Oryzias latipes: one gene and its partners. The protein of the gene in region 4 purifies or fractionates together with the protein of the main gene of each other region. This does not show direct contact. Links are inferred from orthologs where the notes say so. Each region holds a gene or a part of one and is shown on either strand. Other genes may lie near its edges. The genes, in order: faf2, amfr, tbc1d15 and ubac2.

Region 1 (8,628 bases), on a different chromosome or scaffold from region 4:
AGGAGAGACCTGGCTTCAGACACGATGCCACCTGACACCATCAGCCAGGAGCAGAAATTATACAACTTACTCTAACCCAAAAGTGTTCAGAAATGTGTTAAAAAAGAGAAAAAGAACTTATATAAAACCATAAAAAACAAAAACCATAACTGTTGCAGTCCCCCTATATCGAGCGATATGCGGGGACTTATGGGTCTAGTTAAGGACCACCTGACCCTCTTTGTTAACTTTTTGCACAGAAACTGAATGAAAAATCTCACATTTTCTCTAATTCTCAAATTTTCTTTTTCATATCGTGTTAAATGAAAATGAATTTCACAGTACACGTCTATTTTGGTAGCATTAACCGATACCATGTGGTGGTTTTAACCCAGAAGATCTACACCACAACTTTCTATAATAAAAGCAACCATTTCTTTTAGAACATTGAGCTTCAACAGAAACGTCATCCAACTCTCTATAAATGTCCATGTTGCAACTAAAACGTCATCTCAACTCCAACTGTTGTTTAGTGGCTGTGCATTAGTGTGCAGTGCCTGTCTGCACCGCTTTGACTCACATGAGCATCACACATTTTACAATGAGTTTAATGTGCTTAATGCACATTAAATAAAATAAGAAAAAGGCTTTAACCCACATATTTGTTTCAGATCGTTGATACACTAGTGATCAATTTAATTTTTAAGATCAAATATAAACAAAATCGATTTCCTGTTAAGATATTAAAAAAGATCCCGTTTCACACACCGTTCAAGGCGCTCTGACATCAGATATGTTTGGTTGGCATCCATGATGAAGGTGAGCTGATTGATGAAGTCTTCTGGCTGAATGAGACCCTCCAGTCTGCCCACCACAGTCATCCTGCGGTCCTTGAGCATGATCATGGCCAGGAATGGATAGGTGTTCTCCCGCAAAGCTTGGGACACTTCAACCACAACATTCAAACCAGACACTCAAGTACTTTTGTTGGAGCAGAAGCGGGATGCTACTAATTCATAATAAAACATTTTCCTTTTGGATATATTTGTGCCACTCCAAGGTCTGAGTTAAATGGCTATGCAGATTTAATAAGCTATATTTTTTTATAAATTAAAAATATTTAAGATAAAAAGCAGCATCTTTGAAATTATTATATAAAACAGTACCTTTAGAAACATTATTTTACAACACCAGAGTAAAAATTACTTTGTACTAAAATATGAATGTCAATGATGCAGATTTCCTTATTAAAAATAACCCTGTCTTGGTAATTAAATATGGATAAATTGCATTAGAAAGAACCTTATTTTATCAAACATGAACTTGATGTTCAGAACAACGAGTGACATTTTACAAAAGTATTTGACTGACGGCATAAAAAGGACAAACCTCTGTAGCCTTCAGGCTTGCTGGTTGAACATGCCCAAAACAGCATTTGTGTGTTGAGGAAGGTTATGACTTCTTCTGTACATAACGTCGAACTAAAAAGGGAAACAGTAGATAACAAAACAAATACTTCTTTAGTCTGGATATATTATCCCAAAGCAGCTAGCTATACATTTTTTTATACAGATGTTAAATTCAATAAATGGATAGAGCTGTAGATTGTTACTTAAGCCATCTGAAATCAAACCCAAATTCTCACTATTTTCCATAAACATTCAGTGAGTATTGTGGACTTTCTTTAACTGAAGGCTACCAACAATTTTGCCCACCACTGAATATCTTTGCAATGGATGAATTAGAAGTGAAATAGTATGTATTTAATCATCATCATCTATACCTTTATCTTAAAGAGGAGACCAGGCTAAATGAAAAATAAAATATAAAAACACTAAGAAAGAAATGATCACTTTAAACAGTGTCACCCTCAAAAGTTCTTCGGTGAACTTCCTGGTTGACTTCTGCAGTAAACAAAACAAATGTCACAGCTGTTTGTGCCATTTTACAACAAACTACTGAAAATGTCCTCCACAGATTTTCAAACCTCAAATTTTAGCTGACTATAATTACAGTAAATAAATTACGAAAAGACACAGCAATACCTAAATAAAAGCAACTCTGTAGCAACAAGAAAACAGTCCTTTGATCTAAACTGACAAAGTGTCTCCAGACAGAAGAACACAAGCCCCGCATAACAAAACTGCGTTTACTCTGTCTCGCCATTGTCTGTTGTTCTGCATTTGGGTTTCCGGCTGTAATTACTGGATTCTTTTGCTGGTTCGCTGTGTTAAGCCTTGTTCTGTAATGTTCAATCGAGAAAACAAAAAAAAACTTAAAAGGAAATTGATACAATTTTCATAATATTCTAAAATTCCTATTCATCTTTATTTTTATTAATATATTTCAAACAAATTTATTTTTTTCAGAACACATATTAGTAAACTGAACTTCAGTCTTTTTTTTTTATCTAAGTCATTAGAAAATAAGAACCTTCACCGACACTTTACTCTGAAATTTCATTTACTTCCCTAACAGTTGCACATTCAGTTTGTTTAGTATATAAACTGAAAATTTGTAATTTAATAGCATCTTTGAGCAGTAATTACATGGTCTGAAGTGTATTTTCACTACATTTCATAGTAAAAATACACTTCAGACAACATAATTAGATTTTTGGTATTTGGAAGATCATAATTCGGAAATCTCTGACATCACATTGTAGTTGCATTTTCGGGAACAGATTGTAAATATTCGAGTATTCAGATACTCGTAACAGCTCTATTGGGCTAATATATCAACAGTCTTTGAATGAGTGCTACATATTCAGGAGTCCAGATGGCCACAACACAAAGATGATTACTATACCGGCAAAACTCGTCTGTGTCTTGATGGTCGTCTCCATGAAGATACACTAACAGGTAGCGGAGTTCCCGTTTGGCATCATTCAGTGCCTGCAAAGCAAACACAAACAGACAACACAAACGTGCTCAGTTTCTATGCCATTCCATCTATCCGCTTCTGTTAAATGTGTTTCTATTCTCTCCAACTATCTTTTCACCTGGCTGTAGGTCCCCTGGTAAAACACAGGATGTGACCGGCCATACTTCTCTTCAAAACTTTGAATAAAAGACACCACATCTCCAACAGGGTCTGTCACGCGACCGCGAGGATCTGGCCTAATGAACCGTAGGGCAAACCTTGAAAATAAAGGGGAGGACACATGTGAAACTCTATTGCTTTAATGCATAAATGAGCAAAAGTACCTTAAGCAGATGTGATTCAATTACCTGAATATGTCCAGGAGTGTGTAATATGTAAATCTGAAGGGGAGCATTATCAAGTAGTAACTCCATCCTAGTAATCCCTGCAAAATAGCATTTAATAGCAATTAATAATAAATAAATAAAAACTGAACAGCAACACACAATGACAAATCAAAAGAAAAACAGAGACGACTTCTAGAAAAACAACAGTGCCATAGTTTCAAAGACCATACATATCAAGCTAGAATAAACAATTTTTTTCTACTAATCTTATCTGGGGTTGAGATAATACGAATAAAGACATACCCGGGGTTGAGGCCGTGAAACGATGTAACTATAAACTCTATGGTCTGCTGTGTTAACCTGAAGCGGTCTGGATGGAGGAGGATTGAACACACTAGGAACTCCTTCCTGCTCATTGAGTCTGTCTTGCACTGCAGCCTGAAAACCAAACACAGCATTTCTAGACAGTCACACTTTACAATAGCTGAAGCTCCAATTGTTTGGACAGTGATCAGAGAATTTTCAGTTTGTACATTCAAGCAAGCAAAATGAAAATCCAATGACAAATTAAAATACCCGTTTGAATCATTATTTTTGTTTTAATGTAATTTAATTGTAATGATACAGTTTCTTTCAGTGGTTAAAAGTCAAAACAATTGCTTCTCCAATGTCTCCTATTCACAGTAGCAGTTAATCAATAACTGCTGATTCGACATTAAAAACTGTTCACTGATTTTTCAAAGAGACCCTCATAGGGTCCACAATGTGAGCATATATTTGGAGAAAAAAGAAAACATACCTCTATGTTCCAATTATGTTGCTCTAATGTTCGGCGACATTGGTCCATTGATTCCAAACCTGTTAAATCCTGTTAAACGTGAAGTGAAAGTCAAGCTGATGATGACAGCGGAAAGAATGTAAAACTAGTCAGATTTTTTTTGCCAAGGTCCCCCTCCTTAAGCCTCAAATTTAATGTTAAAAAAATAAAAAAAAATAAAAAAGCTTTTAAACAGACACAAATAGATCTATCAACATTCCTCTCACAGTATTAGATCATTAGTTCACCACAGGTTGGCAGCCTCGAAGAACTTAAGAGTAACAGATTTTTATGAGGAAAAACAAACAAACAATGATTTTATAAATATTTAGGGCTCTGAAATGGCTGAAAAAAAAAATAGAAACAGCATGATGATGTAGCTGACAGACTAATGATCTCACTAATGTAGCCTTTATGTGGCAGTAAATTGACTTTTGTTTTCAAATGTAAGCTCTGGCCTGCTCGTTTGTAACAGAAACTTGGGATTTGAAAGATTACGCGAAAAAAATGAATCCACAAACAATTACGTTAAATGTGACTGAGAGGCGATCCTCCTACAGTCTGAAGAATTCTGATCTCGGGTATAACGACAAACACGAGCAGACAAGTCTCTGTGTTGCAACGTAAGATCTATTGACACAACTGGAACGGTTTTTCTTTTCTCCCTAAAACTCCAGAAAGAATCAGGTTAGAATGACAGATGTGCTAATGCTCATAGGGAACGTCAGTGAAAACCTAAAATGGTATTTAAATTAAAAAAAAAAGAAAATAGTACGAAGGTAGGTAGAATATTTAAGATAAGGACTGGTTGTGTTTTTTTTTACAACACAAAATAAAAGTAGCGTTTTTAAAGCCACTCTGTGTCCCTGAAAGTCGGCTAACTAGTTAACTAGCTTAGCTATTTTAGCTAGCCTCGCTAACGCCAGCTCTGACTCAAGTTGACGTTGGGGGGAATTATCGAAGTTGACCGTGCAAAAAGGGTTCCCACATACAAATCTTAACAAGTTAACGGTGACTCACTATCGGCAAAAACATACCGACACACAAGCTATCACACATGTGTGTGGAAATGAAAAAAACTTAGTCTGTCTACCTGAAATTGAAGGAGTTTTTCGGTCTGCGCCTGGGATAATTCTGGCTCCTCTGGCGCCGCCATCTTACCTCGCCAATCATCTAGCAAGGCTTAACAACGTCAACCGTCTTTTCCTGGTGCGGTTCCGTCACGCGGTGTGCAGCGTGCTGCCCCCTACTGTTCTGGCTGTCACCCAGAAGACCAACAAATAAAAATACAAAAATATAAAGAAAGAAAAAAAGAAACTAACAATATAGTGTTTAATTAAAAGCTAAAAATAACACCAGTCTTCGTTATTTAAATTAATTTGTCTTTATGTAAATAGATATATCTATATATATAAATATATACTGTATATCAATATATACACACACACACATATATCTATCTATCTATCTCTCTCTATATATATATGTGTGTGTGTGTGTGTATATATATATATATATATATATATATATATATATATATATATATACATACACACACACACACACACACACACATATATATAGAGAGAGATAGATAGATAGATAGATATACATAGATAGATATTATTAATTTTGTCATTACAGTATAATTATTGTAATTATTTAGTATCTTTCTAAAATTGCTTAGATTTACCTATCATTTTTTTATTAAATATGATTGGGGTAAGTTAAAAGTAAAAGTATACAGTAAAAGTATTTAAAATGTAAAACAAATGTCCATAAAGCACATTTTATATGTAATATAGTCATGTTCACATTTATAAAAGTGAATCTTACTTTTCAGAATACCAGAACATGATTTTATCTTTGTTTTTTTCTGAAAGTATCACACAATTGACACCAAATGATTAAAAAAGGCATTTATTTGGAACGTCTTTATTTTATTATTGGAATTCAACGAAACACCTTAAACTGCAAAGAAAAATCCAGAAAATTCCAAAAGCCAATCTTGTTGAAGTAGTTCACAAAATTGCTGCGCAAGTTTCAATCATATGTTTGTCTGGTCCTTTTGGCTTTTGCACATATCACTGTTTTGTCCAATCTCATAGAGAGAGAGGCTAATTTTACTTTTTCCCCTCAACCATAATGATGTGATACCCAAACTTTGTCTTGACAGGAGGGTCTGTATAAACCGGTTTGTCCATTGAACTGATGGGTAACGCAAACGCCGCCTCCTGGAAAGGTCCGACCATTGATCCTCGAGTCATCCAGCCCAGGTCACCCTGTTGACAACACAATGATGAGGGAACCACAAAAAAATTGTAATAATAATTTAATTTACTTAATATTATATTAATTTGATAGACTCTTTGTTTCCCTTGGTATAGAATGCTCATTTTTAACTATGACCTTTTGTAAAATCTACTGTAACACAGTTTACACTCTGTGTGTCTTTCTTCTAATTGTTCTTTTTTAATATGGTTTGTGGATTTTCTTCATGGCTTTTTGACTGACCAAGAAGTCTAAATGAAAACTAGCCTTTTAGCTTAATTCTAGCATAACTGTATAGTTATGTTGTATGTTTTGAACATTCACTGTCATCTATTGAAATATAAAAGAGAATCGCTCTTAATAGTAGAAAACAAATAAAACAGCTTAGCCACAACATAGCTATGTTTAACCCATTTTTTTATGTCAATTTATATATATATTTCCACTAAACTCTACCATTTTTCTTCCTAAGTATGTATAAAGCATAGTGTTTTTTTTAAGAAACAGAGATGGATTAAGTAAAAATTTCAGGCCATATAATAATGATCTATTATGTTTTCAATCCATAAAAAAGACAACATTTTAGACTTGACGTTTTTCTGAATGGATTGGCATTTTCTTTAGCAGAAGCCCCATTAACTTTTGCTGTTGAGACATTAGAATGTATTGCTCTTTATTTATTTTTTGTGATATTTTTTAGTATGTTACTCTGAATGATGAGTTTTTTTGTCTTTTAAACTTTTCATCCTATTTTAGTTACATTGTTTACATCATATGTTAGACATCTGATAAACCTATATGAGTCTCACTCATTCTTTTATGTTGTACCTATGATTTGTTTAAATATACAAAGAAACTAAAATTAACTAAATTCATGACAGGCTGCATAAATTGGATTAATCAAGAGTTCAAAAAATTCGGACACCACATATTAATTACAAATCTAAAGTATTTATTATTTGTTTTTACTTTAGATAAATACAATTACGGCAGACATTTTTACCTTTTTATGGTAGAAACGAACTCCTTAGAGTTTAAACAAAGTAAAAGGACATTTTTTTATGACCAATGAATCATTAAAAGGCAGACTTACTCCTTGTCTGGCTTTGTCTTCACTGTACTGTGATGCTACTTCACTGAAGCGGACACCGGCCTTCAGTTTCTCCATGGCCTCCATGCATTTTCCATGTTTTTCACAGAGGATATGTCGAACCTAAAGAACAATCCAAAAGAAACTTTGGTTTCAAGACACGCACTAGCAGTCAACAGATTAAGAACACTGCAACTGTCTGTTATTTTTTATCCAGGAAATAAAAGTCCAATGAAAAGCTTGAAATGGTGCAAAAAGGTAATTAGTGAACCTTTCAACCAAAAACTGGAAAGGAATTTTTTTTATTTTTTAAATCAAAATTGGATCATTTTAGAAAAAAAAAGATGACTGCGGTCACACAGGATTAACATTAAGGTGTAGTGTACAGTTCCACTTGATTTTATGTGTACTTTTAGTGTGGTTATTTGTGTATACTAATTGTTTGTTGCTTTGAGTTGTCATGTGGAGCTGTACCTGCCTGAGGTGGCCTAAAGATGGTGCCGAACTGAGAAGCTCTCCAACAGCCACTATCTGTAATCCATGGGGAAGGGAATAGTTTCTCTGTTCTCCCGTTGTTGATGTTTTTGCTTCAACCCCCCCATGGTATCAGTAGTGGTTTAACCCACTCATTTAAAAGTCCTCGGCTGTGTGGTAATGACAGGTCAGTCATTTGATTCTTTCCTTACGTTAGTAAGGAATTATTTGGAGTTAACGTTGACCTCTTTTAAACCAGTTGGACCTTGACAACATTGTTCGACATTAAAAAGGATTTATTTTTGGATTAAGTTCCAGTCCTCTCAGCCGTGATTGCCTGGTCCATCACAGATTAATGTGTTTTTTTGTGCGTTTCTGTGTTTAAGTGGAGATTTGGCCGCAGAGTTTGAGGGATTTCTCTTGTTGTCAGAGGATAATACTTCAGGTGAGGTAACAGATTTATGGCAATGATGCCTTTGAGCCCAGAACTCGCAGAAAACGACTTTTTGCTGAAAGTTCTTTTTGAGAAACCTAAACAGCCACTAGATCCCATGAATCAAATCATCTGTCCTGTAAAACGAACAAAGTAGCTTGATGCTAGTACTTTCACTAACTAGCAAATGAATTCCCCCATGTCACCTGATGGAACAACACACGCTGCGAAACTGACAGGGAGGGGCCAGCACTGAACGCCATTGAGTTGGTTTGGGATGAACCACCGGTAATCAGAAAAGTTATAGCAAAGCAACCAATAGGTGGCAAATATTTATGCAGAAAGAACTTTCTGA
Region 2 (8,517 bases), on a different chromosome or scaffold from region 4:
GGTTGATGGTTGTTTTGCTATTTGTTCCTTTACCACAAGTTATATCGTTATTGCAATATTATTAACTAATATTGCAAATCGCGGGTTTTCCTCATATCGTGCAGCCCTAATGTTTATTCTAAATACAAATTCTAGCTCCTAAGATAAAATAACTTAAGTTTCAGAAAATACATTTTTCTAACACTTTGTTCTTTCTTGGTAAACATCTGCCAATCAAAAACATGCAGTCTTTTGACCACTCTTAATTCAGAAGTTGATGAACTCCATATATCTAAAACTAAATAAAAAAATGAAACAAAAGTTTCCATAAAAATCTCTTGCAGTTCAAATTCTGCTTTTTTGTTAAATAATTGTCAAGCTAACATCTTGAGTTTAATTGCATGGCAGCAATTAGATAAATATATAAAAAATATTTAGAACAAATTATTAAATGCCTCCACAAAAACAACAACAGCCAGGAAGAGTTGAAATTAAAATGTTCGCTCCCCATACTTACATATTCAAAGCGGTCTTTGCAAAGCTGCACCATGAGATGGAGAAAAACCAGAGCTGAGAACCACAAGCACCACATGACCACCTCCTCAACGGTTTGCACATTCAAGACTCCAAAGATGAAAATGAATTTGTAGAAGATAAAGTTCCAAAATTTGTCTTTGAGATGCTGCAGGGGATGAGAAAAGAAGGACAATATAATTATTTGTATTAGTGTCTGTTGAATGTCAGCTAAAACACTTTTAAAGAAACTAAACCCATTAGTTGAATTTAAGACAATTAAAAACTCACCTGCTTCTCACTGACTCGTAGAGGTCCAAAGACCACATACTGAATCATTTTTGCAATTAGCATCAAGGAGCAGCAGAATGTATTCACCAACACCTAGGAAATGGTATAAAGTAACAGTGAGTTTTGGTAGATGCACTCGTTATATTAGTAGGAGTGTAACCATTAATCAATTCATTGATGAATATTCCTATGATTCAACCAGATCCTTCTGTCAGAGGGAAGTTATGAATCATATCAACTTATAGTTTTTTAAAATCATTTCAGAATGAAATTAATTGATTACAATCGGTATTGGAAAATACCATTTGGATTAAGACACGGTAGGTTTATTTTACTAAAACGTAAAACCGATAAAGTGCATCACAGCGGACAACACACACAATGACAGCAAAAAATGATCAAGTCATCATTACAGTCCAATGTGTGGAAAAACTTGGAATTTTGCAAAGATATGTGACCATAGAGTGTGCTAGACTGTTTTAATAATGTTCAGTTTGGATTATTTTCATGTGGGAAAACAACAGTGGGCTGAACTTCATGAAACTAAAATTGCCATTGGATCTTGTTTTCTTGTATGTTTGTACACATATTTAATGTACAATTTCTGGTGTAACTTCCCCTGTACCATTCAGTACCCAGGTATTCATCTCTGAGTCACACTGGTTGAATTTTTGCCTAAAGATGTCCTAGCAGGTACTGCAAAGGGTGTCACTGTGCATGACGTTTGTACTGTGGCCGAGAGGTGTAAGACACATTTACATTTAAGATACAACAACAACAAATCCCGGTACAAACAAAGAAATACTGAAACACAACATCAAATCACGAAATACAACACCAAATCATGGAACAAATTACTGAGTCCTGAAACACAACAGCTGATCCGGGGGGAAATGACCAAATACAGAATTACAAAAAACAACCCTGTTACAATTGACCAAATCCAGAAACACAACAACAAAAGCAGGTCACGGCTTCTAACAGAAAAGACATAATATAAAACCAATTGACTATGATTTTTTTAAAGTTATTTATTACTGTTTTCTTTATGTGGACATTTTAATTACACGAAACATTCCAAAAGCATTTTTTAAATTGTGTTACTACAATACAAAATAAAAAAATGTTTAGTAAGGTAAAGTTTTTGCGTCACATCTGGTAGTAATGGTATTCCCTTTCCGTTGGCAGCTGCTCGCTTTCGTTCATTTTTTTCTCCTTCTTCTGAAGTCGTGTTTTGCACTAGTGCAAGCTTAATGGAAAGGGAATACCATTATTACCGGAAGTGCAGCAAAAACTTTACCTTGCTAACACATTGTTGTAATTTGTATTGTAGTAATAAAATTTAAAAAAATGCTTTTGGATTGTTTCATGTATTGAAAATGTCCACTTTAAAAAAAACAGTGATAAAGAAATGTAAAAAATCATACATAATTAGTTATGTATTACGTCACTTCCGGGATTCAGGATGTTAGAAGCCGTTTCTCCACTTTCCTTGTTGTGTTTCTGCATTTGTTCGTTTGTACCGAGATTGTTTTTTTGATTTGGTATTTGGTAATTTATACCCGGATTTGCTTTTGGGTTTCAGGACTCTGTAATTTCTTCAGTGATTTGCTTTTGTGTTTCAGTATTTGTTCATTTGTTCCAAAATTGTTTTTAGTGCTTCATGATTTGTTTGTTTGTTCCAGGATTTGTTAATGGTTGTATCTCAAATGTAAATGTGTCTTGCAGCTCTCGGCCATCATATGTTTGCGCATGTTTGCTTCACCGTTGAAGAACTTTGTTTCCGCGTTGGAAAATGTACAGCGATGAAATACCCTTCACTGTGTGTACTGGGATAGCTTATACTTTGATTTTGATTTGAAACAAGGTAGAGTGGACTTAGCGGACATTTGTGAGAAAATGGCAGCTTTCTCATGGCTTTGGATCATGAGTCATGGATAGTGAAAAGGCACAAGATAAATTAGGTCCCAAAAACCACCCGCCAACACATCATCAAGGAACCTTGATGAACCGCGCGAGGTTCGTCGTTGCGGACCCAAGTCTCACAAGTCGCATCGTGACAAACAATGTTAAAGAGCGCGGTAACAAACGGTCACAGGTTCAAGTCCCTAATACAGAATAATAAACCGCACTCAGCAGAGGTAAAGTATGCAATAGTATACATTGAATGATCTTCTGAAAAATATTCAACATTGCTGAATCCCTTGAATAATGTCCTGTGACAGATTGATGGTGTTTAGAGCACAGATAGAGAAGCTGTGGCATCGAAAGAGACATTAAAAAAAAAAAAAAACTTGATATATCTATACATGATTACCGGGTTTTCCCATTGTTTTCCGCAAAACAAAGGTGATCAGCAAGACGTAATATAATAATAACTTAATTTGAGGTCTATTGGGCCATTTCATTTATTTCTGTGTTCAGAATTGGAAGCTCTACCATTTGTGGTCACCAACTTTCGTCACTGGACCTTAGAAAATTGTGGCTTGTGTTCCCTAGTCCTCGACTCATTTTAGGTCAGTGAATCGAATCATATCAGACCATTAAAAATGAATCAATATTGAGTATTAAGAAACCACAAATTAGGATATGAATCAGACCATTGTTAAAATGAATTGTCACACCCCTACATTAGTCTAACGTTTTAAAGTGAGTGAAACTTACCCACACAAACAGACTGTCGGTCACAAGATACCACAGGATCGTTGTTGCCAGTTCTGAGTTACTGACAGCATTGCTTAGGTGTTCAAGATCGACGTGGGAGGGAGCAGGTGTATCGTCCGGTTCCAAGGCCCCAAAGCCGGGGTCTGTCACCGTAGGGTAGGCACTGAAGATGCTCCCAGCGAGTAAAGCCACACTCAATACTGTGTAAGTCTGCAAACTGGGCCACGGAAACCTCTCCAGAAACATTAGAGGCATTGCAGTGGGTGCAGTAGTCTTCAACGAAAAAAGGAAGAAAAAAAAGTCTGTTAACAAACAACACACATCTGGATTAGCCAATGTTGGCCTGACTTTAAACAGCTAAACAGATTATGTAATCAATGGGGTTTGCAATTTGAGGGCGATACCAATTCACCAATACTGGCAAGTTTAAAATAATAATCATTAGTAAAATTATATGAATATAAAATCTAAAGCAATAAAATGCTAATACAGACTAACGCAGGAAGTGGCTAACCCCCATAAGCTTCTTTAATTAAAAAAAATATATCAAGTTCGTTCGGTTTTTTGTCTTTGGGTGTATTTTAATAAATAATCAAACCAAAAATATTCAAATAGAATAATTAAAGTGAGTTAACATGTCCAGTGTTAGTAATTCACCTAGCTAACGTTACCTAATACTAGCTAGTTTGTTAGCCAATCTTTGCTGCGAAGCTAAAACCAATCGCCGAACTGCGGCTTTGTGTCTAGACTCCACTTACAGTTCCTTACAGACAACGTTTGACCCAATATCCCGGGTAATGTCCTAATCACTGGACCGAGTTTTAGTGCAGCTGCACGAAGAAGATCATAGAGGACGACAACATCGTCATGTTTACGCCACCGAGCAGAGCGACAGGCTGAACGGCTGACTCGCGAGCTGCTTCTTCTTGGTTGCGCAGGGAAACTACGTCATCGTGGCTGTTTAAAGGCATCGCCATTCAAATCATATTTCACACGATTTCACACGATTTCGCTGCTACCTACTCACTTCACACACTTAAAATATCATTTACCTTTGCTGCTATCAGCTGCACGAATCCACTTGTAATGTGTTATTTAAAATGTGCTATAAACCACGAAGACAGGAACGGGTAGTTTCTAGAACAAAGAAGAAAAGTCGCGACTCATTCGGGAGAGCAGGAGACGTCGTTTCTTTGGAAATTCACCCCTAATGACAGCAGGGTAGACGTTTATGCATGTAATGATGAGACCAATCAGATTAGATAGATTTTTTTCAAAGTAATAAATATGTATTTATACATAAAAACTCACTTCACAATGTTAGGAAATTAGTGTTTGGTAGATAATTCGATATAACACCAGCCCTTTAAAAAATGATCATATATTAGAACCATACATTTGTATTTTTAAAAAGTTTTTTTTTTTTTATGGGCAGCAGAGCAGATTGAGTTGCATCAATAAAGAATTTGCCCAATTTTTTAAACCAATGACACACGTCTTAAATGTATGACGTCATTGCCTCAGTTTTACATTTGTGAAACCTTCAGGTGGCCTTTACTGTAATTGAATACGTTTGGAATGCTAGCTTTGGTTATTGCAGCTGATGTCCTTTTTGATTCCTTGATGTTTTGTTTTGACAATTTGAAGGATCAGCTTGGGGCTGTTGTAGTACCAGCACAACCAGGCTGCCAGCCCATGGTAGACTAATGTGATGGCATCCCAAAGCAGTGTGTGACCAGAAGAGGTCCAAGGCTATTGTGGATGTGTTTAGCTCTTCCACATATTATAAACCCAATAACCCACAGACAGCGTAATCACTATTTCCAGCTAAAAAAAAAGTACGTTTAGAGTCAAAGTAGTTTAATTCATGGCGTCAATGGGGTTTGTCAATATAAAAATAAATTGCCAAATTGCTCATATTTTTTGTTTATTCAAACTTCAAACACTCAAAGATTTAATTTTAGAATAATGTTTTTGGTGCTGGGAGAGAAGATTTTGCACATTTATCACAAGTTTATTATAAAGTAACTCAATTTAAAAGGATAGTAAATAAAATTTAACACAGTAAGTTTTTTTTTTTAAGATGCATTATAACAATACATCCTGTAACAAACACATTTCCTTTTTTTCCTTTTACAATAAAAATAAATAAAACTATCTACCTAAACAGAAATTCGTGCATACGAATACAAACTTCAGAGTCAGGTAATATCTATTAATATTGAACAAACTGTGTAATAAAACAAACGTACCAATTGTTGAGTGAAGAAGAAGAAAAAAAGCTGTTTTATAATAAAGTCATGACAGAATTCCAGGTACCGATTGCTTTCATGTTCCAGCTTTCACTCTTCATTAACATATATTTTATATTAATATTTATTTATATATTTTGTAAAATCAAAAATTAGGAACTAGATCATGATGAAGGGTAACGACAGATAAGATAGAATAAACTTGAAACTTCATAGCCAGATGTTAATTATTAGCTACTCTAAAAGAGGACAGAAATGAAGTTGCAGTCCAAAGTTAACATTTATGGGAGTGTTGTAACAGATTCAAATTCAGAAAAAAAAAAGAAGTTACTTTGCTTTGGATTTTCTTTCATCCCTGAGCTGGACTTTTGGTGAAGTGTAACTTCAGGTAATCTGTTTTCTTCTACTTGAGTGTTTCTAGATCTGTCAGTGCCATGGGAGATTGCACTTTCACTCACATTTCAGCTTTTTTGCTATTGATCGGCACATCTCACGGGACACGGTGATCAAAGAAAAAGCACTGTATGTTCTCGTTGCCTTGAAAAATCAACGATTTTATACATTCTAAGTTATGATTATGAAACAAGTTAGTGAGATATAAGCATAGACAAAGTCATAATATGGATGTCTTTTCCTCCTTTTCTTTTTCAGCTTTTGCCTGGAATCCTGAATCAGTGGCCAAAACCAGCAGTCTCCTTCTCAAGATCTGGATCTTCATTTAACAGCAATCATTTCTGTTAGATAAGAGACATTTTTTCCCCACAGGATGTGGTTGGTACAACAACAAAAAAACAGGAGAAAAAAAACAAGAAAAAATATGTCTAAGCAATTTTACTAAAACACACAACATTGCAAATGCAACAACAGTAGCCATGTGATAATTGGGTCCTTGAAAATACATGGTTTCTGTTCAGTTTTCACAAAAAGGGAAGTGGAGTATTGTTTTTGGAGACGTTTAAATCATTTCTTAGTCAGACAGAAGAGAACGTTAGAAGTAGAATTCATTTTTGGAGGATGAATCCCTTCACTGTGGAATCCCCCACAGAGGCTCCTGAGGAGTATGGCACCGGGACTGCACTGGCATGCGTCATTCTGGGCCTGTCTTTTTTGATCGGAGTTCCAGGAAACCTGTTTGTGATTTGGACCATCCTGAGATCCATGAAGAAGCGTTCACACACGGTGATGCTCATCTTGCATCTTGCTGTTGCAGACACCGTGGTCCTCATCACCCTGCCTCTGTGGATTTACTCCATGGCGCACACCTGGGAGTTTGGAGAAGGAACCTGCAAAGCTTTGGTGTACTTCATCAGTACCTGCATGTACAGCAGCATCTTCTTCATCACTCTAATGAGTGTGGAACGTTTTGTAGCGATTTCTCATCCATTTGTAATGCTGCGCTGGGGGAGCAAAGGTTCTATGAACACATTTCTTCTATTTTTGTGGCTCCTTGCCTTTTCTCTTGGAACGCCAGCCATCCTGACCCAAACTTTAAACGAAGCTGGTGGAGTTACCCAGTGTTTTTCTAGAGAGTTCAGCACTGATACCCAAGCAATCATCATCGTGTGCCTGGAGACACTAGCAGGATTTGTACTTCCTTTAATCATTCTTTCCATCTGTAGCTGTCATGTCAGCATGAAAATCAAGAAACTGAGTTTTAATTCAAAGCCAAAGTCAGTGGTTCTTATTCACGCTGTGCTGATTGCTTTCATATTGTGTTGGTTGCCTCACCATATTATCAACATCATTACTGTCATTTCCCTGGTGATATCAGACACTGAACAGGAATACGTCCCTGAGTATCTTGTCTTAAGCTCTGGTGCTCTTGTTTTCATTAGCAGCTCGGTAAATCCCATGTTGTATGCTTTCTTTGCAAAGAATTTCAGAGGAAGTCTGGAAGGCTCTCGCCTGGTTAGGCTGTTTCAGGAAATGACTGTTTATACAAATAAACTCAGAGAGCTGGCAGTACAGCAGCAGTCGGATCAGGGGCCATCCACCCAGGAAGTGTTAATATCTGATAGTACATGTTAAAAATACCTTAAACCTGTGAAACTAAATATGAAACATTGTAACAACATTAACACATTTTCTTCATCTAATTTATCAATTACACTCTACAATTTCTGTTTAATATTAAATAGTTTACCTTTTTACAGCATTTTTGTGTTAGTATTATGTTACTTCAAATACATCTAAATAAACCTTCTTACCTTGAGCACAAGAGAACAAAGTCCCTGTCAGAAGTCCGAGTTATGTCTCCCCCTCTGGTCACCAGCGGGAAGCGTCTCCAGAGTTCTGAGTACGCTTCATCTTCCAGCATCCCCAGGGCAGTTTCTGGATGACACACATCTGACTTTCATTTGCAATCACTCACAATAAACCTAAGTACCATACTGCACTGAGCCTCACTCAGTGTGAAGTATTGAGTCCCACTCTGCCTGCTTTACCAGGTGTTACAGCTAGACCTGATCCTCTGATGTCCTGACCCTGCTTTGTCCTTGACTCTGTTTGCCTGTCGCCTGCCCCCCGCCCCCGCATCTGGATCTTGACCATCCTCGTTGTTTCTCTGATTCTCCTCTGTCAGACACTGATTTAGCTCTGTGGACTTTTAGCTGAAAAAATAAACCTGCTGCAATTAGAACCAGCTGCCTGCCTATTTTGTGACAGTCCCACCTATTTTGAAAATATGTCAGGTTTTATTTTACATCTATTTTTAAAAGATTATTCTGGCTTTTATTTTGATAGAGGTCAAGAATTCAAAATTCTGCATATTTGCACATTGTAACTACCTCTCTTTTTTGCACAATTGATGTCTTTTTTG
Region 3 (7,055 bases), on a different chromosome or scaffold from region 4:
GAAAGTGTTGCAAAAATCAAATTCTTAGGGGATTTTATCGATGACAAACTAAGTTGGAAGCAACACATCAGACACATATACAGTAAACTAATGTCTCAAAAAGTATTTCAATCATAAATAAATCTAAACATATATTAAAATACGACAGTAAATATTTATTGTACTGCACCTTCATATTACCATATTTTACCTACTGTATAGACATTAGGGGGAATAATTCTATAATTTTAGCTCACTACATCCTCTCTTTTTACTTAAAAAACAAGCCATCAGAATTTTACATAAAGTCGGATATCTTGATCATACAAGCAATTTATTTTATCAATCCAGACTTTTTGATTTTTACACCAACAACTTCTATACAGAGCCAGTGAGAAATCGTTACCATTCAACATCCAAAAACAGTTTTCAGAAAATGAAGGAGGTCACAGACTGAGGGGATGTAGGAACTTCAAGATCAAACTGATAAGAACCACAAAGAAAAGATTCTGTGTGTCGGTGTGTGGCACTAAACTTTGGAACGGGTTCAGTAATGAGCTCAGACAATGTTCAGATATCCAAATATTCAAGAAAATGTAGAAATAAACTCTGATTTCAGGATATGACGATAAGAGGAGTTAAGGATCAACAGGTGTTTGAATAATTCCAAATACATGAACAAATACAATCATAAATTACAATCAATAAGCTATCGATTTTCTTTACTTGATCTGCAATGTGTAGCAATAATTACTGGTTTATTGTGATCATGTGTTCTAATGATAATTGATGATCATTACATAAAGGTTACCGTTACTGTTTACTGAAATCATGAGTTAATGTTTTCTGAAGATGATCAATCATTACTAAGAACTGGATTTAGTAACTTGAAAACAATTTTTCTGATCAGAACCGGATTACAAAAACTATGTAAAACTTTCAAATGAATTAACTCAGTAGGGGTGGAATTCTATAAACTCGCTTCTTCCCAAGCAATAAATCAAGCTCTACCTGACTTTAGTTAATGATCAGTATATTTAATTAAGCAAATGTGATTTAAGTGTCTTTGTTTTGTTTTAGTTTCTGTTTTTTTATCTATGCATTTCATCATTTCTGTGATTAGTTTGATCAATCTGTGTACTTTCATTATTGCTTTGACTACAGTGCTCAAAAATCAATCAATCAATCAATCAATCAATCAATCAATCAATCAATCAATCAAGTTGTATGTTCAAATCTTTAAATAGACTTCAGTGGATCACTCAGCTCAAAAAAATTGAACTAGTTTTTTCTCTCCCCCTCCCTTTTATTTATTATAATTATTTGTTTTTCTCTAATGTCACTGATGTGGGACTGTATCACATTTCATTGTACTCTGGACAAAGTAACACTGTGCAATGACAATAGAGATTTATCTTATCTTAAAAACACAGGAGACACAGATGGAAAGGAAGCTGAGCAACCTGAAGCTTCGTTTTCATCTGCCCCCATCCTCAACACGTAGCTGCAGGTTCTACCACATCTTTACAGAACCGCATCATGAAAGGATGACAGGCAGCAGCACACCCCGTGAGGAGGTGTGGGATCAGGACAGAACCAGAGGAGGAGGATGGAGCGACCTTCTCTTACCATCTGCCCGCCAGTGTGCTTCTGTTGCGGCAGGTTCTGGTTCCGGTGATCAAACATGGCTGAGTCCAGTGAAAGTCCCCTCCTGGACCAGTACCTGCTAGAGAACATCATCATGGCCGGCTGCATTCGGGGGGGCGGTGGTTCTGGCCCGCCATCCTTCATCACATGGCCTGAAGCCATGGGGAACCAGTGGGTGTAGGAGTACCAGGGCTCCAGTGTGCCGTTCTGCTGCTGCTTCTGCGATGCGGGTGAGCGCCGACCCGCCTCCACATAAATACCTGAGGGAGGGGGATGCTCCTCCCATTTGTTCCTCTCTATGAGTTGTGGTGCTCATTTTGCCAGCTAGGGAGGGTGGGGCCCACTCTGTAGAGAGTCGGATGTGGCAGACAGGATACAGACTCAGCTTGGAACCAGAATCTGGAGTCCATGTGGGTTGAGTCCGGGTTGAAGAGCTGAAGGGACAGGACAGACAGACTTGTCTGTGGTCTCAGTCTATAAACCAACCGAGTTCTGGTTCTTCTGGACCTTGAGCGGTGGTACAGTAAAGTTCAAGTTCACTGTAATCCTCAGGTCCAAACATCAGTAGGATCTTCTGGTGCCTAAGATGACCATTCAACAACCAGAACCCCAAGTTCAGGTACGGTCTTAAACCAGGACAGAAGAGGTCCAAATATCTGTCCAAGCACAGAACCATCTGGACTGGTCCCGAGTCGTCTGAGTGATCCAAAGCTGCCGAAGACCTTCCTGGAGATTGGAGAGAAGCAGATCCTGAAGATCCATTCATGACTGAAGCGTCTCAGCAGGTCCACTCTACATCAGTTCTGCACGTTTGTGCAGTTTTACGTACTTAGACCTAAACCGGGTCAGTGCTGACCCGACTGAGTTTCATAGAAATAGATGGGACCATCTTCCACCTCCTTTCTGCCTCTGGTCCCGTCCAGACTCCAGTTCTGACAGTTTGGGTCAGAACCTAAGTACTGCGAGCTGGACTGCTTGAGCATGTAGCAGTTCTGTTCTGATCTCTCGTGTCCAAAAAGGACCTTTCAGCAGATGTTTGGAGCTCCAGTTTTGTCCTTGTCTGAGCCTCTTCCTCCTCAGCGAGGATGAGGAGCGCAGCTCGCCTGCTCTGAAGGTGAGGAGCTGATAAGAAGCAGCAGCCAATTTCCTGCCAGACAGGAAATGAAAGCAAGAGCTTTGTTGTGGATGTGATGCAGCTTTATGAGCAGATGGCAGAAGATACCCTCCTCTTCCTCTGTCTTCAGCTTAACGCCTGTGAGGAGGAAGAGGGGACGTCCATCACTCACATGAAAGCAGCTGACATTTGCAGCAGCCGGCACATTTCAAAAATGAAAGAGGGTGCTCCTTCCTGGAGTCAGAACCATTGCCGTACCTCAGCATCTTCATCACCGGGTCGAATGGGGCCGGCTTATTTCTCTGCATAAAGAAGAACAAACTGATCTGGACCGTCCTGCAGGCAGAGCGGACAAACAACTCACTGTTCTGTTCTGGTGCTTTATTATCTGATGTCCCACGAAGGAGATCATTCTGGTCATATATCTCATACAGAGCTGCATGAACTGGTTCTGCAGCACCAGACTCCAAGGCCATTCCTCGTCCTCCAAATCAACCCTGAAGGTCTGTGAGCACCACTACAACCAGGATCCCTCAGAACCAGAGGAAGATTCTGGTTTAGTGTTTCCCAAGGAGGAGATCAGTCAAGCTGATTTGATGATGTCATCAGAGGGCAGACAGCAGCAGCCAATCACTGAGTCTAGGTCAGGTTCTGATCACAACCTCCTGCCATCTGATGACAACACACAGCCATAAACCCGTGCATCCTGCCCTGTTCCCACTCAGGCTCCGCCCCCACGACAGGTGAGAAACGTCTGAAATGAGTGAACTCGAGCTGAAGAAAACATTGGTCTTTTATTACATAGTTACATTTGACAGATCTGTTCTGACCCACTGGATCAGTTTAGAACCAGAACTCTGTTCCAATCAGAACTCCGAGGGTGGAGACTGCCGGGCTCCTTCTGGTGTTTAACTCATCTGCCAATCAGGCAGCACATGTTGACCCGATCCAGCAGGAGGTCTGATCCAGAACCAGCTGACTGCACACGGTGCCGGCTTTCTTCAGGGTAGCCTGCCAGCCTGTGAGTCGGGCAGCTCCTGAACTGGGCCCTCTGGCTCTGACTGGCTGCAGAGGTACGTCGTGTCAGAAAGCACTTCCTGTTCCTGTCCAACTTGTAGAGTTTTTATAAAATATGGCCAAAAAAATCCAGCAGCTGGACAGATGTGCAGCAATTTACAAAAATAGGATTTTCATTCAGCTCCCCTCCTCCTCCCCCCAAGGACGACGCCAGCTCGTGGGACGTCACTGTGACGAGTGTCCTGTGTGTCCATTGGAACAGGCTTCCCGCCGGTCAGCCGGCCGATGGGCCACGGCGGAGCCAGAATCTGAGCTGTCGGACTCTCTGCACTGCTCCTGAAGACCAAGGATGGTGTTGACAGAACGAGGTAGGTCCTGAGGAGAAGAACCAGGTCAGACTCGCACACACATGCACGCATAGGTACACAAAGACACGCGCATGCACGCACAGACACGCGCATGCACGCACAGACACACGCATGTAAGCACAGACACAAGCATGTACACACAGACACACGCATGCACGCACAGACACATGCATGCACGCACAGACACACGCATGCACGCACAGACACACGCATGCACGCACAGACACACGCATGCACGCACAGACACACGCATGCACGCACAGACACACGCATGTAAGCACAGACACATGCATGCACGCACAGACACACACAGGCACGCACAGACAGACGCATGTAAGCACAGACACAAGCATGTACACACAGACACATGCATGCACGCACAGACACACGCATGCACGCACAGACACACGCATGTAAGCACAGACACATGCATGCACGCACAGACACACACAGGCACGCACAGACACACGCATGTAAGCACAGACACAAGCATGTACACACAGACACACGCATGCACGCACAGACACATGCATGCACGCACAGACACACGCATGCACGCGCAGACACACGCATGTAAGCACAGACACACGCATGCACGCACAGACACACACAGGCACGCACAGACACACGCATGTAAGCACAGACACAAGCATGTACACACAGACACATGCATGCACGCACAGACACACACAGGCACGCACAGACACATGCATGCACGCACAGACACACACAGGCACGCACAGACACACGCATGTAAGCACAGACGCATGCATGCACGCACAGACACACACAGGCACGCACAGACACATGCATGCACGCACAGACACACACAGGCACGCACAGACACACGCATGCACGCACAGACACACGCATGTAAGCACAGACACAAGCATGTACACACAGACACACGCATGCACGCACAGACACATGCATGCACGCACAGACACACGCATGTAAGCACAGACACACGCATGCACGCACAGACACACACAGGCACGCACAGACACACGCATGTAAGCACAGACACAAGCATGTACACACAGACACATGCATGCACGCACAGACACACGCATGCACGCACAGACACACGCATGCACGCACAGACACACGCATGTAAGCACAGACACAAGCATGTACACACAGACACACGCATGCACGCACAGACACATGCATGCACGCACAGACACACGCATGCACGCACAGACACACGCATGTAAGCACAGACACACGCATGCACGCACAGACACACACAGGCACGCACAGACACACGCATGCACGCACAGACACACGCATGCACGCACAGACACACGCATGCACGCACAGACACACGCATGTAAGCACAGACACAAGCATGTACACACAGACACATGCATGCACGCACAGACACATGCATGCACGCACAGACACACGCATGTAAGCACAGACACAAGCATGTACACACAGACACATGCATGCACGCACAGACACTTGCATGCACGCACAGACACATGCATGCACGCACAGACACATGCATGCACGCACAGACACACGCATGCACGCACAGACACACGCATGCACGCACAGACACACGCATGCACGCACAGACACACGCATGTAAGCACAGACACAAGCATGTACACACAGACACACGCATGCACGCACAGACACATGCATGCACGCACAGACACACGCATGCACGCACAGACACACGCATGTAAGCACAGACGCAAGCATGTACACACAGACACACGCATGCACGCACAGACACATGCATGCACGCACAGACACACGCATGCACGCACAGACACACGCATGTAAGCACAGACACAAGCATGTACACACAGACACATGCATGCACGCACAGACACATGCATGCACGCACAGACACACGCATGTAAGCACAGACACACGCATGTAAGCACAGACACAAGCATGTACACACAGACACATGCATGCACGCACAGACACACGCATGCACGCACAGACACACGCATGTAAGCACAGACACAAGCATGTACACACAGACACATGCATGCACGCACAGACACACGCATGTAAGCACAGACACACGCATGCACGCACAGACACACACAGGCACGCATACACACACACAGGCCCGCACAGACACAAGCATGTACACACAGACACATGCATGCACGCACAGACACAAGCATGTACACACAGACACATGCATGCACGCACAGACACACGCATGCACGCACAGACACAAGCATGTACACACAGACACATGCATGCACGCACAGACACACGCATGCACGCACAGACACACGCATGTAAGCACAGACACATGCATGCACGCACAGTTACACACAGGCACGCACAGACACACGCATGTAAGCACAGACACAAGCATGTACACACAGACACACGCATGCACGCACAGACACACGCATGCACGCACAGACACACGCATGCACGCACAGGCACACGTATGCATGCACAGACACAGGCATGCAGGTGCCAGGCTCACCTTGCAGCTCTTCATCTGCAGGAAGAGTCCTTCCGCCTTCTGCAGAATCTCCTCAATGTCCAGCTTCATGGAGAGCTCATTGATGTGCTGAAACAAACACGTGCACACATTAATGACTCGTGCATGGATGTCACAGGTGGTCCGGATGTGACCAATAGATTTTTCAGCTCAGACGTTCATGGATCTTTTGGTCTGCAGGTGGATGCATCAGAAATGAGTGGAGCAGGGAGACTTGGGCCTGCCGGTTGTAGTTTGTGCATAACAGCAAGAAGCTTTTTCTAACTGCTTTTTTTGTCTGCTTCTGATTCACTATGATTTAAAAGAAATACTCAGAAGTGCACTTTTAAGCGTAGCTTTCTTTATACGTGTCCACCATCATGAGAAAAATGCCACAAAAACATCATTTTCATGGGAGTGTGTCTTTCACTCCTTGCTTGCTTCTTAATCCTGACTCCTAACC
Region 4 (8,683 bases):
CAATATTAAGATACCGTCAAGAAAACTTGCTAATAATACCAATATTTTATGTTTACAACTTCATCTCCAGGAGTTGGAGGAGATGGGTATCACTTCTACAAATCAACCTACATCATTTTTTGAACACATGCCTTCAAACTTGATGGCTTCAAATCCAGGTTGCTGGAACGTTTTCTTTTTATTATTAGGAAAAAAGTTGTAAACTTTGACATGGTCATTTTTATAATAAAGAAAAAGCATGCAATGGTAAAACTATGATAACAAAGTTGCTGTACTGCATTTCTTTACATTACTTTCTTTAAGTTAGTTATATTAATATCAGAAAAACAATGAAAATGATAATTATTGTTCATGATAAAGAGAAAGTTTACTTTGACAGATGAAATTACCTACTTATTCATTATGGTAAGAATTTTGTCCTCATTTTGAAAGTATTTCATAACAAAGCTGAATACATGTCTTGACTGCAAAAATATTTCTTTATTTTTTGTTTTGTTAATATTTTTTGATTGAGTTTGAGTATTTTCATACATATGTAAATTTTAGCCTCCACTCTAATCTAATTTTTAACTCCATCAATTGCTTATTACCTTTAATGTTTTAAGTCTTTCGCACCATGTCTGCTGTACTAATACTGCTGGTACATGTTGAGTTTTAAAAACTTATCCTTTGTTGTATTTTGGTATTTTTATTTAAAAAAATAAATCTTACTCTGTACCAGTCTATGTCATTTTCTTTCAGTAGTATTCAAGACATCTCATTTTGAATTTCTGTTTGCACTCAACAACTGTCCTCACTTGAGACGATGGGCTCCAGAATATACCGGGCGATACGAGACACCCATGCAGGAACAAAGAGAATCTTCTGGACCCACAAAATATTGGAGAGGTACAGCCCGCCCGAGACCTGAAAAGCACATTCAAGAAAATGCAATCTCAATAAAACGAAAAAGAAAAAAAACATCAGTCAGAAGTGATTTTAGCAACAGAGGAGCAAGAAAAATAAAATAAAAAATAAAAAAGAGTCATAGCCAGGCCATAATCTAAACAGAGAAGTATGTTAAAACACATTTCTTTTAAGGATCAAAACCTTTCATGAGAACATGCACTTAATGTGCAATAAATGGTTATTTATTGCTAGCTAGTAAATTGTACGTGAATTGAAGCATCTCTACAAGTATGTTTACGTTAAAAGTCTCAAACAACTGCTGTGCTGAATTTAAGAAGGATTTATTTATTGTTTTATTACATTAGACTACTGGTAAGCTTAGCTTAAGCCCTTACTTGCTTATTAGCAAATAAAAAAAAAATAAAATAAAATCAAGATGTCACGTTTTTTGTTTGTGTTTTGTAATACACAAATCACATATCGAATCAAAATCATGACCCAAAAATTGAGGTTTTAACCGAATCCTGGGGAAAATGAATTGTTGGATCCCTGCAGCACATACATGTAAGAAAGACAAAAATGCTGTTGATTCAGTAAAATTAATAAACAAGAATTGTAAATTCTCCCTAATATTTTTGTATTGTCAAAGTAGCAGCAAAAAAAAAAAAAAAAAGCTTAAAAAAAAACTAGTATGGCAGACCACAAACGAATGACACTTAGGTTAAGCTAACAGGAGCAACTGCTGAGAGTGATGCTCATGACATCCGTTTATGTGGCTGAACTAGCAAACTGTCAACTATTTACGCCGATTTGCCATCAATGTGAAATCTGTGATATTATCGGTGATAATAGTTGAATAACTCGAAGCACATTCCATCATGAGTCATCAAAACTAGTACTTTACAGTAACATTCAGGATTGATGGTAACTCACCAGTCCACTAAGAGCAAGGAGCCACATGAAGGGGCTGGAAGTCAGTAGCTGCATCACAGAAGGATTCAGGGAAGAAGACAGAGAAAGCATGTAACAACTCCAAAAAAAACAAAAAAGAAAAACCAGCAGGAGATAAACTACGATAAACATGCTTAGTCACAATAGCAGAATACTGGTTTTACCTGCAAGCCAACTATGTACACCAGAGATTTGTTGGTGATGTGGATGTGACCAAGTATTTGGGTGACTGGCATCCTGGGGATTGACAGGTAGAAAGGCACGAACAAAGAAAAAACTGGTGCAAGCCTGTCAGGAAAATAAAGAAGGAAAAGAAAAGAAAAGTTCTAAGACGAAGGAAAAGATTATTTGAAACAGCAGTCTTTTTTTAACTGACGCACAATTTGATCGTGCCTTTAAACTCTGCAATGCTCAAAACTTATTAGCAAAAGTGTGATTGTCAATAAAAACCTCTGCTTTTCAGAGATGTGACACATGGATTAGAATTGTAATGAACTCACAGTCCAGCAGGAAGTTCTTCCACTTCATAGTCAAACAGATGCTGAAAAGCCTGAACCAACACAAAGTCTGTGAGGGCAGAGAAACACCAAGTGCCCAATAGAAAGGACTGAAAACAAAAACAGCAAAGAGTCAGATGACAGGAGTAGTGAACAGCATCAAATACAATCATCTTCTTTTTTTTAAGGCAGGTTTGGAGATTTAACCGCAAATAAAGCTCAGACTCATCCTGCAAAACAGTTCTCAATAATAATTTCTCCGCACACTGACTGAATCTGTCATTTCTTTCCAGTTTTGTGCTCATCTTTAGGTGGTTTTTCGAAAGACTAAATCTGCAATGCTACCCAGAACCAAGAACTTGTATCTTTGTCCAGCACTAGAGTTCAAGACAAGGTTTCATCTCTGCCCCAAAAAAGAGAAACTATCCAAAGAGAGAAACTTTAGTGAGGAAGAGCATCCTCCACTTAAACACTCACGGCAAACTTCCTGGTGCCGAACCTCCTCTCAAAGATCCTAAAGTTGTAAATCAGCAGGCTACAGCAAAAGCAGTCCTTAACATCTAGACAGACAAGTCTTCCACACAACAACCTCCACACCTAGAAAACATGGAAAAAAATAAAATGTAAAAAAAAAAAACATTATGGAAAACATAAAGCATATACAGTTCAATTTTCAAAGCATTTGGATGTTTGTGTTCTTTATCATAGTGAACAGAACAAAAAGGTTGAACTAAATAAAGTTAGAAAATTGAAGTACAGATATATAAAAAAAACACCTGTTAAGTAACCAGAATTATCTCTAAAAATGTGGAATAAACCACAAACTAATTGGACCACAGAACACATTTCTCATATTTTTTCTATTACGCTGAGGTCAACATGGTTAACATGGGTTGTTGTGAAAACAAAAAAAATAAAAATAAAAAATACTAAATGAATAAAACTAAACTGTCAGAATCATTTATTGTCTTCACAATTGTTAAATGCAATGAGATTGGAGCAGCTGAAGACAAACAGAAGAGATCAATGTGCAAAAAGTGGTCATGGTGTAAATGAGGGCTGCACGATATGAGGAAAACTCGCGATACGCGATATTAATGATCAATTTTGCAAAGACAATATAACGTGCGATATATGACCATCCGATTGGTCAAATGCATAAAGGGATTTATTTGATTGGCAAAACACTTTGAGCTGGTATAAGATTCTTAAAGCACATTTAAAGTAACCGTTTATTGCTAATTTTTGCCGTCTTTTGTGATAACAATAAATTTGTTATTTATTGTGCAGGCCTAGTTTAAATCATTTGAAGAGGAAGAGGTACATTTTAATAAATAAAAAGAGTAAAGAGCAGTAACAAGTAGAAAGTCCAATTTCCAACAAGGGTATATGTACCTACGTCATAGAAAGTACATAGCTAACCACTTTAATTGTACACAAAACAAACTCATTTAAAAAAAGAAGGGATGCAACCATTGATATATGTATATACACAATATAATAATATATATCAATGGATCCAACTATTTTTTAATGAAACAAATCTCATTGCCGTGTTTGCAGTGTACAGAAATAAACATTTATATTTCTGTTTAGAGGAATATTTTGAAAAAAAAAAAAAACAATTTTTTTGGGTTCTTGTTTGTGCTGCACTATACTTCCAGTTATTCTGCAGTTTCTCAAAAACCAGCTTCTGAAAATGGCAAGTGGAGACATATGAGCTGTTAGCAGGCCATGGATTACCTAGAGTTCAGATGTTGCTGCACGAGTTTTGTTCAGCAAAAGTTGAGGGAAATAGATGCAACGACATCAAAACAATCCTTAAACCTTTTCAGGAGATTCTCACAAATAAGGTGTTTACCTCCCTTTCTTATATTTATTTCTGTTCTTTCTTATCTTTTTAGCTATTTTAACTTATGATTCCATGTTTTTATTTGTTTTTAGATGTTGTGTAAACAGTGCATTTGACAGTGTAGCTCCCAAACAAACATACCTGCTGCTGTTGTGTGAGAGCCTGCAGGTTGTAGATGAAGAGTTCTTGGTATTGAGGCAGAAGGATCAGCATCAGAGTCAGTCCATTGAGGACTAACAGAAGGCTTTTGGACAGAGGAGCCTTGTCTGCAAAAACACAATCGCTTTCGATTAAACCGTGATAAATGGGCTTGCCTAATGTTTGAGTTCATTCCGTTTCCTACAACTGTAGGTAGCACAGTTCACATTAGTGGAACTAATAATAGCCAAAATTCACATTATTGAAATAAAGAATTGAATTAAGAGGCAAATCATCATATATCAGATATTTTCTTTGTTTCGACTAAACACGACGGTTCTAGCTCGGGATATCACATTAAGTAAATTAACGACAACGCAATACTAAAGTAGGCTAGCTTAGCTTAGGTGCTGGAGGAACTGAAGGAAGCGTTCGAGTTAACTTGTCACCCGGTAAACTTACAGAGGCCCCGGGACCCGGTGGTGGTAAACATGGGGTCTATGTGGGCAAAGGAATCCAGAAAATAGCCGATAATCCAGTACCAAAACAAACTAATAATAAAACATTGACATAAAGTTTGTGAAAGAACCCATGCTGTCACTATGACGGGAAGGTGGCAGGGGAAGGAGGTAGCTACGGAAGCCTGACGTGAACAAAAAGTACCTTGTCAAAAAGCAGAAATACGTTTGCAAGGGAAATACCTGTAGATGGCGCCGTTGCTCCGTTCACCAAAGCACCTGTGTTAAATTAAATCTAAAAAATTACTTAAATTAAAATACATGTTTTTTAAACGTACAGAAGTATTTAAAGTTTAAATAAACTGACGAAAGACTCATCAAAAAAAGTTTTTCTTTTGTTTTCATGTTTGATCATAAAACCAATCAATCAAAATGTAACTTATAAACACAAAAAATAGATTTTTTTGTTTGAAAGAAAACAGTGTTAATAATAATAATAATAATAATAATAATAATAATAATAATAATAATAATAATAATAATAATAATAATAATAGGTGGAAGTTCTGGCTTGTTACTGAAGTGAGGGAACAATATTTTATAATGGGAAACTGTCCATAGGAGGGGCCATCCCACTCATGCTCTCAGAGGCTATCATCACAAGACCACCCAGATTACAAGGAGTTGGGGCCCACATGAGGCTGCAGTGCAGGATACCTTACCATACAGATTAGGGTGATCCCACAGCCCCGATCAAATGATCAACTCACATTCTAGCAACAAGTAATCAACAAATCAGAAATGAACCAGAAAGAAAACAAGTATGTATTAGCAAGTATTCTAATTTATGTAACATGGCCTTATTAGATTAATTAAAATATACATCACTATTATAGTCATGATCAATAGAAAAATTGTTGGTTTTGATCTGATTTGAAAGCCCAGAAATGTAAATAGAAAAAACATGTAAAAAAATGTTACATGAGATATCTTTAGATGGAGACACATCAAATGTATTACTCAACAATGTAAAAAAAAAGTTCTAAAATCAAGAACCAAGTCTTTAAATAAAAATATGTAGGAAGTTAGTTTTTACTTCTGTTTTCTTTTTCCTAAACTGCATTTCTGCTGCAATGGAAGCCGAACATTTCAATTTGTAATTTAACTAGTTATTCACCAACATGAGGTATGTATTCATTGGTTGCAATCCACTGATCTGACATCTACAACTTCCCTACAGCTAGGGATTTGTATCTTATTCAGCATTTTATGAAGGCAGATAAGGTACCCAGATTTCTCACTGAATGAAAGGTCATTTTACTAAATATCCAAATCGGTGTCTTTTATTAACCTAAGACAGAATTCCATGACCCTTAAAGTTAAGTCCTAATCATGTTCTATCTTGAGGCATATCATCAACAAGTATTTGCTCTGTGTGTAAAATTAATTTCATGTCAGCTATGCATCCAAGCAGCATGAGGAATGTTGCACGTCTCCAAGTTGTGTGAGTTGGTTTCTGACAAAGTGGTAACAGCATTTTAGTCTGTGAGCAGGATGTGGCTACACAAAGTCCAGATTAATTACTTTTTCTTATGGTCTTCTGGCTTTCTGCACACAGTGTCATATCTTGTCAAGGTCCAGACTTCCTTTGCAGATATCCTGCTCTGTCTTATTTTCAATTGGCTGCCGGTTTTATTCACATCAAAATGTGAGTAACACTTCCTGCCTGGCCATGCTTGCGCCTGAGCCATTTGATCCACGGCTCGTGTTTTGTCCAAGTACATACGAAAATGTTTGGTGAACAGCTGTCTAATAGAGTTGAATTTCCTCATCGGCCACAGATGCAGTTGTGTTATTTTCCATTGGTTAGTTCCCACACATTTGGTTCATTTGGCTGCCTTTGGTCAGATGTGACTGCAAAGCAGAGCTCAGTAACAGCTTGCTAATTGTGTTTCAGACCTTCTCTGTCACTGATGTGGGACTGAGGTCTAAAAAGGTTGCTTTGCCCCTGTTCTCAATCAAAGATAATCAGATTAAACAGTGCAGAATTGTGTGTGTGTGCGAGTTTGTGTGCGCTCACCAATAAAGGGACCCCAGATTTGGAGACAGCCTTGACTCCTGCTGTTTGCTTTGTTCATTAAGAGGAGATGAGCAGATGGTTTGCTGGTCTGTTGTGCAGTGCACACACGCAGACACACGCACACACACATGCAAATACAGGAAGACACATGCATGCTCAGTCCTGTCACCTTAGCTTTATCCTCCATTTATCTTTTCCATTACACATCTCTCAGCAGGACAATGCTACTCATTGAATTGTGAGGAATGTGTGTGTGTATGTGTGTGTTTATGTGACACAGTGACTGTTACAAGGGAGCATGACAGAGGAGAAGTAGCACCGGATGAAGTCACCAACGCTTTCAGTAAGCCAGCCTCTGAGGTGATTTTAGCAAAACCCGGTGACTCATTCTCACACATTTCTGTAAATTCTTACAATTCACTGGAAATATTTTCAGGAAGCACTTGTCCGTGTCAGAGGCTTTTTTAAGTCCCGCTCCACAGTTTGTCTGATTTTGCTAAGGAAACTGAGACATTTTTGACAAAGTTAAATGAGTAGAAACCTGAAGATTAATACGTAAAAAACTTTAAGATAACATTTTGCTGACTCCAGAACAAACTCTAATGCATTCAATTGGACTGTTTTTCAAACGCATTCACACTTTTTGTTTCTCTTTCAATCCTTTAAACTTACACATACTCAGATATTCATTTTAAGATTGTGTAATAACCATCATTTGCTAGACTGTAGTTTGAAAGCACTAAAAATAAAGACTCAGCTTATTATTGGTGCTACAAAAGCCAATGTTTTGAAACACACATATACAACATTTTAAATGACAGCTTGAATCGGGCTGCAGAAATATTCAATTCGATGAACGGCATTCTCAAAATCAAAACAAATTTATATAGAAATCTTGATGCAAGTTGGAAGAAAAATGTGATTGTTATCTGTAATTAAACAGGAGTAAGCTCAGTATCAAGTTTAGGTCTCTTACATCAGCAGGGCACTGTTCTGGTCCAGTTAAGTTTGGGTTTTTGGAGGGTGTCTAAGGTCATTGTGTCCCAGAATTATACCAACTCCTGCTGCTGAAAAGGATCCCACAAAAAGAGCAACTCTTAATGTAGTGTTATTGTTTTATTTTACAGATAGCCTATTTAATTTAATATTTGTATTAAAAAAAGCGCTCTACGAATCCTGAATAAAACCATCATGTTGTCCCATTTACAAAACAAATTAGTTTTGTCACTAGTAAAAAAAAAATCTTCTGAGATCCTTATGGCCTAAAACAGGGGGTCTTCAACCTTTTAACACAGAAAGAGCCATGTGGAGCAGTTTCTTTCTGACCAAAACCCAGCGAGAGACACAACGCCCCACTTAACAGTTAGAAAAATACAAAGTTTTTGTGGCCATTAAGCCATTCATTTGTATCATATACAATATTGAATTATAACAGGATTAAATTTGTCAACAAATGAGAACTTTAAAGTCTTTTAGTTTTCCCAGTACTGCATCCTTTTAATATTCAACCCCCCCGTGTCAAATAAGATCCTCCTTTTGCAATAGATTTACTTGAATAAAAAATTAAAAAAGCCAAATCAAACATGGTCAGACAGTAGATTAAACCTTTTTCTCAGTTATTTAACATGTTAAAAATCTAAATATAAAAGGCAAAATTTAATTAATTAGCATAAAACTACAAACCCATTATTTATTCAAATCATTTGCATGTTTTTTTCAAAGGCAAAGAGTCATAACAGAGGGCTAAAAGAGCCTCAGGTTGCAGACCCCTAGCCTAAAGGAATTACAGAAAAATATTTCCACATTTATAAAAACATAG

The links.
Region 1: the proteins of ubac2 (region 4) and faf2 purify together in Homo sapiens (affinity purification with western blotting; 7 studies listed by BioGRID and IntAct, with this or other methods). This does not show direct contact. The link is inferred for Oryzias latipes from reciprocal best matches to the Homo sapiens genes UBAC2 and FAF2.
Region 2: the proteins of ubac2 (region 4) and amfr purify together in Homo sapiens (affinity purification with western blotting; 4 studies listed by BioGRID and IntAct, with this or other methods). This does not show direct contact. The link is inferred for Oryzias latipes from reciprocal best matches to the Homo sapiens genes UBAC2 and AMFR.
Region 3: the proteins of ubac2 (region 4) and tbc1d15 purify together in Homo sapiens (affinity purification with mass spectrometry; 3 studies listed by BioGRID and IntAct, counting the BioPlex papers as one, with this or other methods). This does not show direct contact. The link is inferred for Oryzias latipes from reciprocal best matches to the Homo sapiens genes UBAC2 and TBC1D15.

Annotation. Positions count from the first base shown.
Region 1 is NC_019868.2:20,364,950-20,373,577, forward strand, and holds the start of faf2 (FAS-associated factor 2), read right to left. Parts: upstream 5,225-8,628; 5' UTR 5,162-5,224; coding exon 5,099-5,161; intron 4,057-5,098; coding exon 3,988-4,056; intron 3,627-3,987; coding exon 3,492-3,626; intron 3,287-3,491; coding exon 3,210-3,286; intron 3,120-3,209; coding exon 2,981-3,119; intron 2,874-2,980; coding exon 2,788-2,873; intron 1,461-2,787; coding exon 1,369-1,460; intron 926-1,368; coding exon 748-925; intron 1-747. Other genes in the region: pin4 (peptidyl-prolyl cis-trans isomerase NIMA-interacting 4), read right to left, coding at 6,129-6,287, 7,370-7,489. UniProt on the Homo sapiens protein: Plays an important role in endoplasmic reticulum-associated degradation (ERAD) that mediates ubiquitin-dependent degradation of misfolded endoplasmic reticulum proteins.
Region 2 is NC_019861.2:26,262,521-26,271,037, forward strand, and holds the start of amfr (E3 ubiquitin-protein ligase AMFR), read right to left. Parts: upstream 4,381-8,517; 5' UTR 4,206-4,380; intron 3,721-4,205; 5' UTR 3,703-3,720; coding exon 3,448-3,702; intron 877-3,447; coding exon 784-876; intron 662-783; coding exon 497-661; intron 1-496. Other genes in the region: leukotriene B4 receptor 1, read left to right, coding at 6,714-7,727. UniProt on the Homo sapiens protein: E3 ubiquitin-protein ligase that mediates the polyubiquitination of lysine and cysteine residues on target proteins, such as CD3D, CYP3A4, CFTR, INSIG1, SOAT2/ACAT2 and APOB for proteasomal degradation.
Region 3 is NC_019864.2:5,645,331-5,652,385, reverse strand, and holds the end of tbc1d15 (TBC1 domain family member 15), read right to left. Parts: intron 6,683-7,055; coding exon 6,596-6,682; intron 4,133-6,595; coding exon 3,983-4,132; 3' UTR 3,516-3,982; downstream 1-3,515. Other genes in the region: tph2 (tryptophan 5-hydroxylase 2), read right to left, coding at 1,609-1,788. UniProt on the Homo sapiens protein: Acts as a GTPase activating protein for RAB7A. Does not act on RAB4, RAB5 or RAB6.
Region 4 is NC_019873.2:18,565,607-18,574,289, forward strand, and holds the start of ubac2 (ubiquitin-associated domain-containing protein 2), read right to left. Parts: upstream 4,974-8,683; 5' UTR 4,820-4,973; coding exon 4,789-4,819; intron 4,455-4,788; coding exon 4,330-4,454; intron 2,934-4,329; coding exon 2,814-2,933; intron 2,447-2,813; coding exon 2,340-2,446; intron 2,128-2,339; coding exon 2,004-2,127; intron 1,870-2,003; coding exon 1,822-1,869; intron 907-1,821; coding exon 798-906; intron 1-797. UniProt on the Homo sapiens protein: Restricts trafficking of FAF2 from the endoplasmic reticulum to lipid droplets.